3 linked regions of the Lonchura striata genome follow. The protein of the gene in region 3 purifies or fractionates together with the protein of the main gene of each other region. This does not show direct contact. Links are inferred from orthologs where the notes say so. Each region holds a gene or a part of one and is shown on either strand. Other genes may lie near its edges. The genes, in order: DCAF11, GLMN and CUL4A.

Region 1 (3,745 bases), on a different chromosome or scaffold from region 3:
GGGGAGGGGCGGCTGGGGGGGGGAGGAAAGGGGGCGGGGCCTCAGATCAGGCCACGCCCCTTTTAACCCTGACCCCTCCCTTTAAGCCCCTCCCCCCCCCTTTAAGCCCCTCCCCTCATATAAGCCCCTCCTCTTATTTAAGCCCCTCCCCTTATTTAAATTAGATAATTTAAGCTCCTCCCCTTTAAGCCCCTCCCCTTTATTTAAGCCCCTCTCCATATTTAAATTAGATCCATGTAAGCCCCTCCCCTTTATTTAAATTAGATTCATTTAAGCCCCTCCCCTTTATTTAAGTCACTCCCTTTATTTAAATTCGGTCCCTTTAAGCCCCTCCCCTTTATTTAAATTAGATCAATGCAAGCCCCTCCCCTTTAAGCCCCTCCCCTTATTTATGCCCCTCCCTTTATTTAAATTATGTTACATTAAGCCCCTCCCCTTTATTTAAATTAGATCCCTGTAAGTCCCTCCCCTTTATTTAAGCCCCTCCCCTTTATTTAAATTAGATCCATGTAAGCCCCTCCCATTTATTTAAACCCCTCCCCTTATTTAAATTAGATCCCTTTAAGCCCCTCCCCTTTATTTAAGCCCCTCCCCTTTATTTAAATTAGGCCCATTTAAGCCCCTCCCCTTATTTAAATTAGGCCCCTTTAACCCCTCCCCTATAGTTAAACCCCTCCCCTTATTTAAATTAGATCCCTTTAGCCCCTCCCTTTTGTTTAAGCCCCTCCCCTTATTTAAATTCGACCCCTTTAAGCCCCTCCCCTTTATTTAAGCTCCTCCCCTTTATTTAAACCTGGCCCCTTTAAGCCCCTCCCCTTTGTTTAAGCCCCTCCCCTTTATTTAAATCAGGTCACCTTAAGCCCCTCCCCTTTATTTAATCCCCTCCCCTTTATTCAAATCAGGTCACCTTAAGCCCCTCCCCTTTGTTTAAGCCCCTCCCCTTTATTCAAATCAGGTCCTATTAGCCCCTCCCCTTTGTTTAAGCCCCGCCCCATTATTTAAATGTGGTCCTTTTAAGCCCCGCCCCTTTCCCCTCAAGCCCCGCCCCCTTTAAGCCCCGCCCCCACCTCTGGAGGCCTCCGGGGCCCCTCCCCCCCCTTCCGCTTCCGCTTCCGGTTCCGGTTCCGGTTCCGGTTCCGGCTCCGAGTCCGAGTCTGAGTCCGGATCCGGCTCCGGGATTTGCCCCGCCCGGCCCTGGAGAAAAGGCACCCAAAATGACCCAAAAATGGCCAAAATTCACCCAAAATTCACCAAAATTCAGCCCAAATTCAGCCAAAATTCAGCCAAAATTCACCCCAAAATTCAGCCAAAATTCACCCAAAATTCACCCAAAATTCACCCCAAAAATGGCCAAAATTCACCCCAAAATTCAGCCAAAATTCAGCCAAAATTCAGCCAAAATTCACCCCAAAATTCACCAAAATTCACCCCAAAATTCACCCCAAAATTCAGCCAAAATACCCCCCAAAATGACCCAAAATTCAGCCAAAATTCAGCCAAAATTCAGCCAAAATTCAGCCAAAATTCACCCAAAATTCAGCCAAAATTCACCCAAAATTCACCCAAAAGTCACCGAAAATTCAGCCAAAATTCCCCCCAAAATGACCCAAAAATGGCCAAAATTCAGCCAAAATTCAGCCAAAATTCAGCCAAAATTCAGCCAAAATTCAGCCAAAATTCAGCCAAAATTTACCCAAAATTCACCCAAAATTCAGCCAAAATTCAGCCAAAATTTACCCAAAATTCACCCAAAATTCACCCCAAAAATGGCCAAAATTCAGCCCAAAAATGGCCAAAATTCACCCAAAATTCACACCAAAATTCAGCCAAAATTCACCCGAAATTTAACCAAAGTTTACCCAAAATTCACCCAAATTTACCCCAAAATTCACCCCAAAAATGCCCAAAAATCTCCCAAAAAAATTCCAAAAAATTCCAAAAATTTCCCCAAGCAATTCCCTAAAATTCCCAACAAAAACCCAAAAAAATTCCCCAAAAATGCCCCAAATCCCCTCCCCCACCCCCAACCTGCCTCAGTTTCCCCAAATCCCCCCCAATCCCCTCCCCCACCCCAAACCTGCCTCAGTTTCCCCCCAAATCCCCTCCCCCACCCCAAACCTGCCTCAGTTTCCCCCCAAATCCCTCCCAAATCCCTCCCCCACCCCCCAAATCCCCTCCCCCACCCCCCAAATCCCCTCCCCCACCCCGAACCTGCCTCAGTTTCCCCCCAATCCCCCCCAAATCCCCTCCCCCACCCCAAACCTGCCTCAGTTTCCCCCCAAATCCCCTCCCCCACCCCCAAACCTGCCTCAGTTTCCCCCCAAATCCCCTCCCCCACCCCCAAACCTGCCTCAGTTTCCCCCAAATCCCCCCCAAATTCCCTCCCCCACCCCTCCAATCCCCTCCCCCACCCCCCAAACCCCCTCCCCCACCCCGAACCTGCCTCAGTTTCCCCCCCCCTCACCTCCTGAGCAGCGCGCGCAGCTCCGGCAGCTCCAGCCCCTCCCCCCCCTCCCCACCCTCCCCCTCCCCGGCCCCTCCCCCCCCCCCGGGGCCGCCCCTCCCCCCCCCTCCCCTTTCCCCTCCCCCCCCTCCGCTCCTGCCGCCCATGGATCCCCCCGCGCCGCCACTTCCGGGTTAGGCCCCGCCCACCGCGCCGCCTCCGCCAATCAGCGCGCAGGCAGCGAGCCACGCCCCCCCCGCGCTGATTGACACGTGGGGTAAGGGGGGAGGGGGCGTGGCCTGCGGGGGGAGCGCGCTGATTGGCGGAGGGGGAAAGGAGGGCGGGGATTGGTGGGAGCGGGGAGGGGATGGAAGGAGGGCGGGGATTGGTGGAGAGGGGAGGGGCGGGATGAGAGGGAGGCGGGGATTGGTGGAGAGGGGGAATGGGGGAAAATGGGGGAAAATGGGGAAAAATGGGGAAAAATGGGAAAAAAGGGGAAAAAAGGGGGAAAAATGGGGAATTTTGGGGGAAATTTGGGGAAAAACGGGGGGAAAATGGGGGAAATTTGGGGAAAAATGGGAAAAATGGGGGAAAAATGGGGAATTTTTGGGGAAAATGGGGAAAAATAGGAAAAAATGGGAAAAAATGGGGAAAAATGGGGAAAATTGGGGAAAAATTGGGAGAAATTGGGGGGAAATGGGGAAAAATGGGGAAAAATGGGGGGAAATGGGGGGAAATGGGGAAAAATGGGAGAATTTGGGGGAAATTGGGGAGATTTTGGGTGAAATTGGGGAAAAACGGGGAAAAATGGGGAAAAAATGGGGAAAAATGGAGAAAAATGGGGGAAATTTGGGGAATTTGGGGGGAAATGGGAAAAATGGGGGGAAATGGGGAAATTTTGGGGGAAAATGGGGAAAAATGGGGAAAAATTGGGAGAAAATGGGAGAAAATGGGAGAAATTGGGGGGAATGGGGGAAATGGGGAAAAATGGGGGAAATTGGGGGGGAATGGGAAAATTTTGGGGAAAATGAGGAAAAAATGGGAAGAAAAGAAAAAATTTGGGGAAAAATGGGGGAAAATGGGGAAAAAATGGGAAATATTGGGGGAAAATGGGGGAAAATTTGGGAAAAAAGGGGAAATATTTGGAAAAAAAGAAGAAATTTGGGAAAAATAGGGAAAATGGGAAGAATGCGGAAAAATGGGGAAAATGGGGGAAATGGGGAAATTTTGGGGGAAATTGGGGAAAAGCGGGGAAAAAATGTGGGAAATGTAGAGAATTGGGGAAAATGGGGAAATCTTGGG
Region 2 (3,745 bases), on a different chromosome or scaffold from region 3:
TGTGGAGTATCTCACTGCTTTGGGTCAGCTGTCCCAGCTGTGTCTCCTCCCAAATTCCCTGCTTACTGGGAGCAGAGTTAGAAAGGGAGAAGGCCTTGATGCTGCACAAGTATTGATCAGCAGTAGTTGAAACACTGATGTATTATCAGCACCTTTTTGGTCACAAATCTAAAACACAGCACTATGCAGTGTGCCATGATGAAAGCCAACTCCATGCCAGCCAGACCTAGTACACCATCTGAAATCCCCGTCCTGTGGAAGTGGGACATGCCACTTTCTCCTAATTATGCTTTTCTACTTCCTTTTCTCTTTGCTTCACTCACAGAAGAGTTATTAATGGTTTTGTTAAGATTACTGTGACTTGGGTTTCTGTAAGATACCTGAATACAGAATAATGGGCACTTAACACAGGGCAACTTATTAGCTACTCTTATGTACAGCCTTGCTCCACAGAGAAAGTAGCTTTCCCCTCTTAATTAGCAGTTTTATATTTAATGTTAATAAACACTACTATGCAGTGCAAACTTAAACTCACCTTGTTTTTCTCATTTTGAATTACTTCTAATAACTGAGCTGCATATCCATCTTCCAAACATTTCTGACCTGCTACCTGAAACAGATTGAAATCTTCTCCTTTGAAATCAGCTTCTTCCAGAATTTGCTAGAAAGAAAATATGAATGTTTAACCTCATACTTAGCAAAGTCAATTAAGAAATAAGAAAATCCATGCTTTCATTTCAAAATTAGATGTAATATCATTGTAACTTCTATACATTTTTAACTTACTAAAAAAGCTACCAAGTTACTACAGAAGACAGGGCAGTATTTCAATAGCACTAAGTCTACATTACAGCTTGCTGTTTGGAAGATGTGTTTTCTACAACTACCAGCTTTTGTTCCTAGGTACACACCTCCTTCTCCAAGAAGCAGAAATAATCAAGCATCTTGGGATAAGCACCACAGAGAAGGCAATGAAACATGGAGGCTCAACTTAGCTGTTCCATGAAGAGTTCTACTAACAGTGGACTTGTTTTTTGAGGTAATTTTGGTTTTAATTCTAATATATGAAAAGAAACTCGCACTACTGACACTTGTTACTTCTAAGGAAGGAAAACTACTTACACATCTTTGTATTATGTCTTGAAGTTCATCAACTGCCATTTTAGTTTGACTGTGTTCTTCCAGCATGAAAATTTATTATAAATTAAAGAGGGCAGTATTATATTACACGGATTTAAAACAGAGGCTGAAAAATAATCACATTATCAAAAAAAAAAAAGTTAATGGGGGAACAAGAACAATCTAGACAAATATAAAGACTACATAATTAGCAAATAAGGGAAAATTCATTTTTACTAAGTGTATGCTATATTATTCTACTCCCCATATTAGCAGGAAACAGTATTACAGACAGGAAACAACATGCATTCTATGTACAGGGAAATAATTTTTCAAGTACTATCTGGGTCATCTTAAGAAGTGTGAAGGTTTCAGTGACTACTGCAGGCACAGACATGGAAAACTGCAGCTAACACAGAGCAAGTCTGGGCTCACTGCATGCCAAGGAGGCACACCCATGACACACTACATTTTCTGTGCCTATTCTGACCAGAGGAGCTTCTGCTCAGCCCTGACTGGAACACACTAACCCGATATCTGGTGTGTGAAGGCACTGATTCAAACACCATGCCTGTTTATATCAACAGTCCAGTGAAGATTACATATGCAGTTTCACTTATTTCTTTCTAGTGTCTAGGTGGGACTAGTGCAGTGGCTTTTTACCTCTAGGTATTAAAATTTAAAACTTTCTTGCTAAAAACAACAAAGTTATACACTTGAGTAATGTCAAGTATGTACCAAGTTTTATGTAGCCAGGCTCATGAATTAAAAATGCAATCAAGCCTGGTTATCCCATGTGATATATCATAGCAGCAGTCATAATCTTTATGGTTTTAAGTAATGCCATGGACCTAAACCTGGTTATATTATCACTATGATTGTCAATTACCCCTACACCTGGTTAATTAGGCAACTATTCATCAAAACAGGCATCTCCATGCAATGTCCTGAGCCTTTCTTCTTAGTTTTACCTAAAGTGGTGGGTTGACGCTGGCCAATTGCCAGCACACCTAAATGAGACAACACACAGATAATGAACCTATCTAGACGCTCACAAGAGGCGACAACTCACAAAAGCTTAAAAGGCATCTGTGTATGACCTTCTTTATTCAAAGAATAAACAACTCACTTCCTATTCTTCAGGGCCCATTCTGACACCTGTATGTCACTGAAACCTATCCTTTCTAGCCTGTCATTTCAACCAGATCATTACCACATACTTTCTTACCACATCTTGTACTATTTAAACTCTTCATTTTACAGACTATTACTAATCCCGCCAAAACAATTTAACATACTTTCGAACAGCAGCCCTCAGTAACTTGACAATGTACTTACAGCCTTGAAACGCGTCCCAGGCACCCACCGTGTTGCATGGATTTGCTGGCTGAGCTCGCAGATGGTCTCCGGCCTTAATACTTAATCCGGCTTCCAAGTGAATCTTTTAGGAGGTTTCAGCGGCAAGTGAGCAGCGTCTGAATCATGTGAAACGTTCTATTAATACTCACCAAACTCTCTTCTAATAAACAGATACCCCAGCCCCTTCTCTGGGCGGTACAACAGCCAGGATGGGACGAAAAGGCTGCCAGCTAAAGCCTGTAACACACGGCTGAATTACAAGCCACAAGGGCACGGCACCGCCTGTGCTCAGCTCAGCTCAGCCCCTGCCAGAGGAAGCCCTCAGCCCGGCGCTGCCGCCTCTCCCGGCCCCGCCCCGGGTGAGAGGTCGGCGGGCGGAGCGGCGCTGACGGCGATGATGGCGGCCGCGGCGGGCAAGTCCCGCCGGCGGCGCGCAGGTGGGCGCCGGGGTCCGCGCGCCAGCCCCCGCTCCCCCCGGCTGCGCTTTGGGCTCTCCCTGTGCCCGCAGGCCGGCACGGCGGCGGTGTCGCCCAAGCCAAGCGGAGGGGAGCGCGGGCCGGCCGTGGTCGGCTCTGCGGGGCTCTGCCGGGCTCTGCCGGGCCGGGTGCGGGGCCGCGATGAGCGGTGCGCCGGACGGGGCGAGGCAGGACCCGCCGTGCCCTCGGGCTGTGAGGGGCCGGGGCGGCGGCTCTGAGCATCGGGGACGGGCTGTGGCGGCGGTCGTGCCGTCAGAGCGCCGAGCCCTGCCCGCGGCGCTGCGTCCTTGCCAGGGTGACAGCCCGGTGCGCCCCTGCCTTTGCCCGTGTCGGAGGGGAGCGGCTGCGCGGACGCCCGTGTGGGGAGCCGGGCCGGGCGCCGTCCCGGGAGGGAGCGGCTCTGTGTCAGGCCTTGGACCTGGCCCCTGGCTCAGCCCTGCCCCGCGGCAGCCGTGGGGACGGCAGTGGGGCGCCGCGGTAAAACTGGGCTTTACCGCCTGGAGAGACGGGGGGTGTGGCTGGCACAACGCCATTGTCAGAATGTTTTCTCTTTTTTGTGCATACAGAACGTGGTGAATGAGAGTATAAGAAGCGTTGGGCCTGTTTTCACACTTTTTAAAGTGTGTCTGGTTGCTGAATACCAGCTTACTGAAATCACAGCCAGCAAAAGCAATAATAAGAAATTATCTTAATTGTGCTTACAGTTTAGAGGTTTTCATATTTTTCAGGTTCCAACATCTGCTGTTAAGCAAGTACACTAATTTTGATATCTGTATATTTGATTCTTAGGA
Region 3 (3,745 bases):
TATACTCAAACAGGGCCCACAGAGTAATTAAAAAAACAATAACAAAAGCTTGCTTACTTGCTGCAAGTACTGGTTTATGGTGATGTGCGCCATTGAAGGGTCCGGAGCTGAGGCGGAACTCCCGGCACTCCCCCCGCGCTTCCGGATCCCGGCGCGCGCGAGGCCGGCGGGAACGGCCCCGAGCGTCACGTGACAGCCCCCACCGGCCTATGCCCCGCCCACCGCGGGCCCGGGGCGTGGCCTCACTCGGGCAGCCAATAGGAGCGAGCGTGGGCGGGGCAGGGGGCGCGCGCCGGCGGCAAACCGCGTGCGCTGGCGCTGAGGGGTGGCGGGTGCTGTGACTGCCACCAGCGCTGCCTCTGGTACCCGCGGCTTGGACAGCAGGCGGGCGGTGCGCTCCGTGTGGCCGGACACTCCAGTGACTGCCCCAGGAGGGCTATGGAGGCTCGCCTCCCAGTGCTCCAGCGTTGCCCACGGGGAGCGCTGGCGAGAGGTCGCCGGTGAACTTGGGTCGAAAAAGTTGAATTGAGCATTAAACTTCCAAGCAGGTTGACTCCTAAAGGCGCTGGCGCCAGGGAGATGTGTGAGACAAGGACGTGCTCCATGTTCGTGCAGGCTGGGCTCGGTTGGGTTTGGCAGGTGCCGGTGAGCAGGGCGCGGGCGGCCTCTGGGGATGGCGGCTTTTGTGGGCGGCAAGAGCGGCTGCTCTGGCTTGCGTTCGGCCGCCCTTCGGCGGGTACCAGCAAACAGGGCAAGCAGGGACACCGAGGGGCCGCTGCCGCCGGCGGCAGGCTGCCCCGGCCCGGGAGCCATCTTGTGAGCGGGGCTGGCGCTGCCCGAGCGCCGCGGGCCGCCCGGACTCGGGAGCGGACTCGAACCCGGGCCCGCCCCGAGCCGGCCGCGGGGGCCGGCGGAGGCGGGCGGGCGGCTACCGGTGCCTTCCCCCGGCGGCACTTGGCAGCCGCCCGCGGGCAGTGGGGGAGGGCAGCTGGGTGGCGGCGGCGGGGGAGGAGGAGGGGAGCGGAGGCGGGGACCAGCCGGCCCCGGCCCGGCCCAGCCCAGCGCGTTGCCCCGGCCGGACACGGCGCCCGGGGCGGAGATGGCGGACGAGCCGCAGAAGAAGTCGCACTTGTCGGCCTTGGTGGGACACACGAACGGGCTCACCAAGCCCGCCTCGCTGACCGCCAGCCGCTCTGCGGGAGGGGGAGGAGGAGGCGCGACCGCCTCCTCCAAGAAACTCGTGATCAAGAACTTCAGAGGTGGGTACGGGGCAGGCCGGGCCCTCTGTCCTGGCAGGTGCGCTCGGCCCGATCTTTGTTTACCGCGGCCGCTCCCCGCCCCGTGCCCGGGCCCCGCCGCCGTCACCCGCCCGCCGCCCTGTGGGCGAGGGGAGGCGGCGGCGGGGCTGATAACGCCGCCGGGCTGACAGCGCTGCCGGCACCGTGCCCGTGTAAGGGCTCCCGGGGACACGCGTGGGGCGCCGTGCGCGGGGGCAGCGGCCGTCGGGAGCGGGCAGAAAGCCACCTTAGTGTCAGCGCTGATTAAAGCCAGGCGAGGGTGGTTGCCTCGCTAAAAGTAACACGGGCGTCAGACACAGCGGCCGGGGGGTGAAGCGCGTCGTGCAAAGGCTCGGGTGGAATTAGTGACCCCTCTGAGTGTGCCAGACTTACAATGCCGAGAGCACAGTGGCTTGGCAGAACTTGATGGAGCGGCAGGGAGAGAGAAATTGCTGCAGGCTCTCGTTGGGTGGCCGTTTTCAAACTACCTGTGTCTTACTTCACAGAAAGACCCAAATTACCTGATAATTATACTCAGGACACCTGGCAGAAACTTAATGAAGCGGTGGGAGCCATACAGAGTAGTATTTCTATTAAATACAACCTTGAAGAGCTCTACCAGGTAAGCTACATAAGGTGTTGGTTTCGTTTTTTACAATTAAACTGCTTTGGCACACATTCAACATAATGTATTTTGATTTCTTAAAAGCTGATTGAATACTCTGCTACATACTTTGTAATCAGTTTTTGTATGTATCAGTTCCTCGGAAAGTTACCAGGATCTGGGCCCATGAAAAAGCAGTTTCTGTTGGGAGGCACAGAAAGCTATTCCTGGGCAGGGCTGAGATCTAAGTCTTAGTATCTTCAATACTCTGCCCACTCAGCATGCTGAAAACAGGATGTTACTCTAACAGGGTTATGAATTATTTTCGTGCGTGCTCTGGTCTCTTGTAAATAGTAATGTTGAAGTATTTGTTATTATTGCATTATAATATTACACTTGTATACCTTTTGGGGAATTAAAAAGCAATCTTGATTGAGCAGGCAACAAATTGTCACTTTATCCACATTTCAGATTACTGTTACATTTTCATAAAAATCAAGATCTTAGTTTTTTGGTTCAAGTGATGAAAAAGCATTTCTGGAACACCTGCACTACTGGAGCAGAGGCTAGGGAGGTTAAAAGAGATGGACTCCTAAGCCATTTCTTTACTTTCTCCAGTTATATGTGGTTTAGTTCTATGTTATTTCAGATGTATGTGCTTTGAGGTATTTAGCTGAAGTAGCAGCTTTCTAGAAAGAGCATGCTATAAAAGAGTACTGATGCACTAAATTGTGCTATATAACATAAGTTCATTATGACTTTTCCGTGGGTGCAGTGTTTGATCTGCAGGTTAATGTCCTTGCCGGTCCAGGACTGAAAATATTATTATGCACTCCTAAAATTTTCTAAATGTTTAGTTGAGGTGCAAAGGGTGGACTGTGAGGGAGGAGAATGCCAGTAGTCCATACTGGGTCCCTGTTCAAAAAGATCAGAATGGGTTTCAGAACTGGCTATACTTACCCCTTTAGTTAGGGTATGTAATATATAGGTCTAAAATAGCTGATTATGTAAATGTGTATTAGCTTAAAATAATTATTCCCTTTAAATATAAAACTTGACTATAATATATCTATTAATAATCACAGATTTGCAAAGTTTGAATGACATAATGCCTTTTATTGTTTTAAATTTGGCATTTGAAAACAACTGCTTTTTCATGTCTAGCAAAAAAAAAAAAAAAACAAAAAAAAAAAAACCAAAAACCAGCCCACAGATGCTTTGAGTGTTACCTAACTTGTTTTCAGAGGATCAGAAATGAGATTATAGTAATATGTCTATGAAATCACTAGGGAACGTGCTTGAGTTTTGGCAGAAGAGGAGAGATATTTCAGATAAACTGTGAAGGGAGAACTGTACTTCTTGCTTTTTCTCTTTGTTTGCTTATTTGTAAAAACTGTGCAAGGCTGGTCAAATAATCCTTAGCACAGCAAATCGGGAAGATTTCTGCACAGTGGGTGGTGATGCTCGGTGTGCCTCTGCATAGACAGGTTTTACTGTCCTGCCAGAGGAATAAAAGATGAGGTTCAGCATCCATTGGAAACCTGATCTGTATTTACAGATCATTTTAACTGCCTGTTGGTGAGCATCGAGTCATCCGCAAGGGAAAATATCTCTGGCTGCATCAGTTCTTACTATCAGGCCTTTGTGGTGGTTTTTGGGGTTTTTTTGAGTCTTTATCTGACATTATAGGGGGAAGTGAGAGGCCTTCTAGAGTTCAGTGCACTCAGTGGGTTGGTGTACCAGCCTACAGTTGAACCTTCTGATTTATTTATTTAATTTGGCACAGTGGCTGAGAAGAAACTGAAGAACAGTGATGAGGCTGTGTGGGAAGCCTGAAGGATACTCCTTTCCAGGCATTAGAGGC

The links.
Region 1: the proteins of CUL4A (region 3) and DCAF11 purify together in Homo sapiens (affinity purification with mass spectrometry; 13 studies listed by BioGRID and IntAct, counting the BioPlex papers as one, with this or other methods). This does not show direct contact. The link is inferred for Lonchura striata from reciprocal best matches to the Homo sapiens genes CUL4A and DCAF11.
Region 2: the proteins of CUL4A (region 3) and GLMN purify together in Homo sapiens (affinity purification with mass spectrometry; 5 studies listed by BioGRID and IntAct, counting the BioPlex papers as one, with this or other methods). This does not show direct contact. The link is inferred for Lonchura striata from reciprocal best matches to the Homo sapiens genes CUL4A and GLMN.

The regions. Positions count from the first base shown.
Region 1 is NC_134641.1:644,907-648,651, forward strand, and holds the start of DCAF11 (DDB1- and CUL4-associated factor 11), read right to left. Parts: upstream 2,611-3,745; coding exon 2,604-2,610; intron 13-2,603; coding exon 1-12. UniProt on the Homo sapiens protein: May function as a substrate receptor for CUL4-DDB1 E3 ubiquitin-protein ligase complex.
Region 2 is NC_134611.1:20,526,869-20,530,613, forward strand, and holds the start of GLMN (glomulin), read right to left. Parts: upstream 2,866-3,745; 5' UTR 2,486-2,865; exon of another isoform or gene 2,458-2,485; intron 1,247-2,457; 5' UTR 1,189-1,246; coding exon 1,123-1,188; intron 987-1,122; exon of another isoform or gene 937-986; coding exon of another isoform or gene 904-936; intron 662-903; coding exon 536-661; intron 1-535. Other genes in the region: putative RNA polymerase II subunit B1 CTD phosphatase RPAP2, read left to right, coding at 2,873-2,915, 3,744-3,745.
Region 3 is NC_134604.1:91,515,360-91,519,104, reverse strand, and holds the start of CUL4A (cullin-4A), read left to right. Parts: upstream 1-1,050; 5' UTR 1,051-1,099; coding exon 1,100-1,259; intron 1,260-1,783; coding exon 1,784-1,899; intron 1,900-3,745. Other genes in the region: PCID2 (PCI domain-containing protein 2), read right to left, coding at 58-93. UniProt on the Homo sapiens protein: Core component of multiple cullin-RING-based E3 ubiquitin-protein ligase complexes which mediate the ubiquitination of target proteins. As a scaffold protein may contribute to catalysis through positioning of the substrate and the ubiquitin-conjugating enzyme.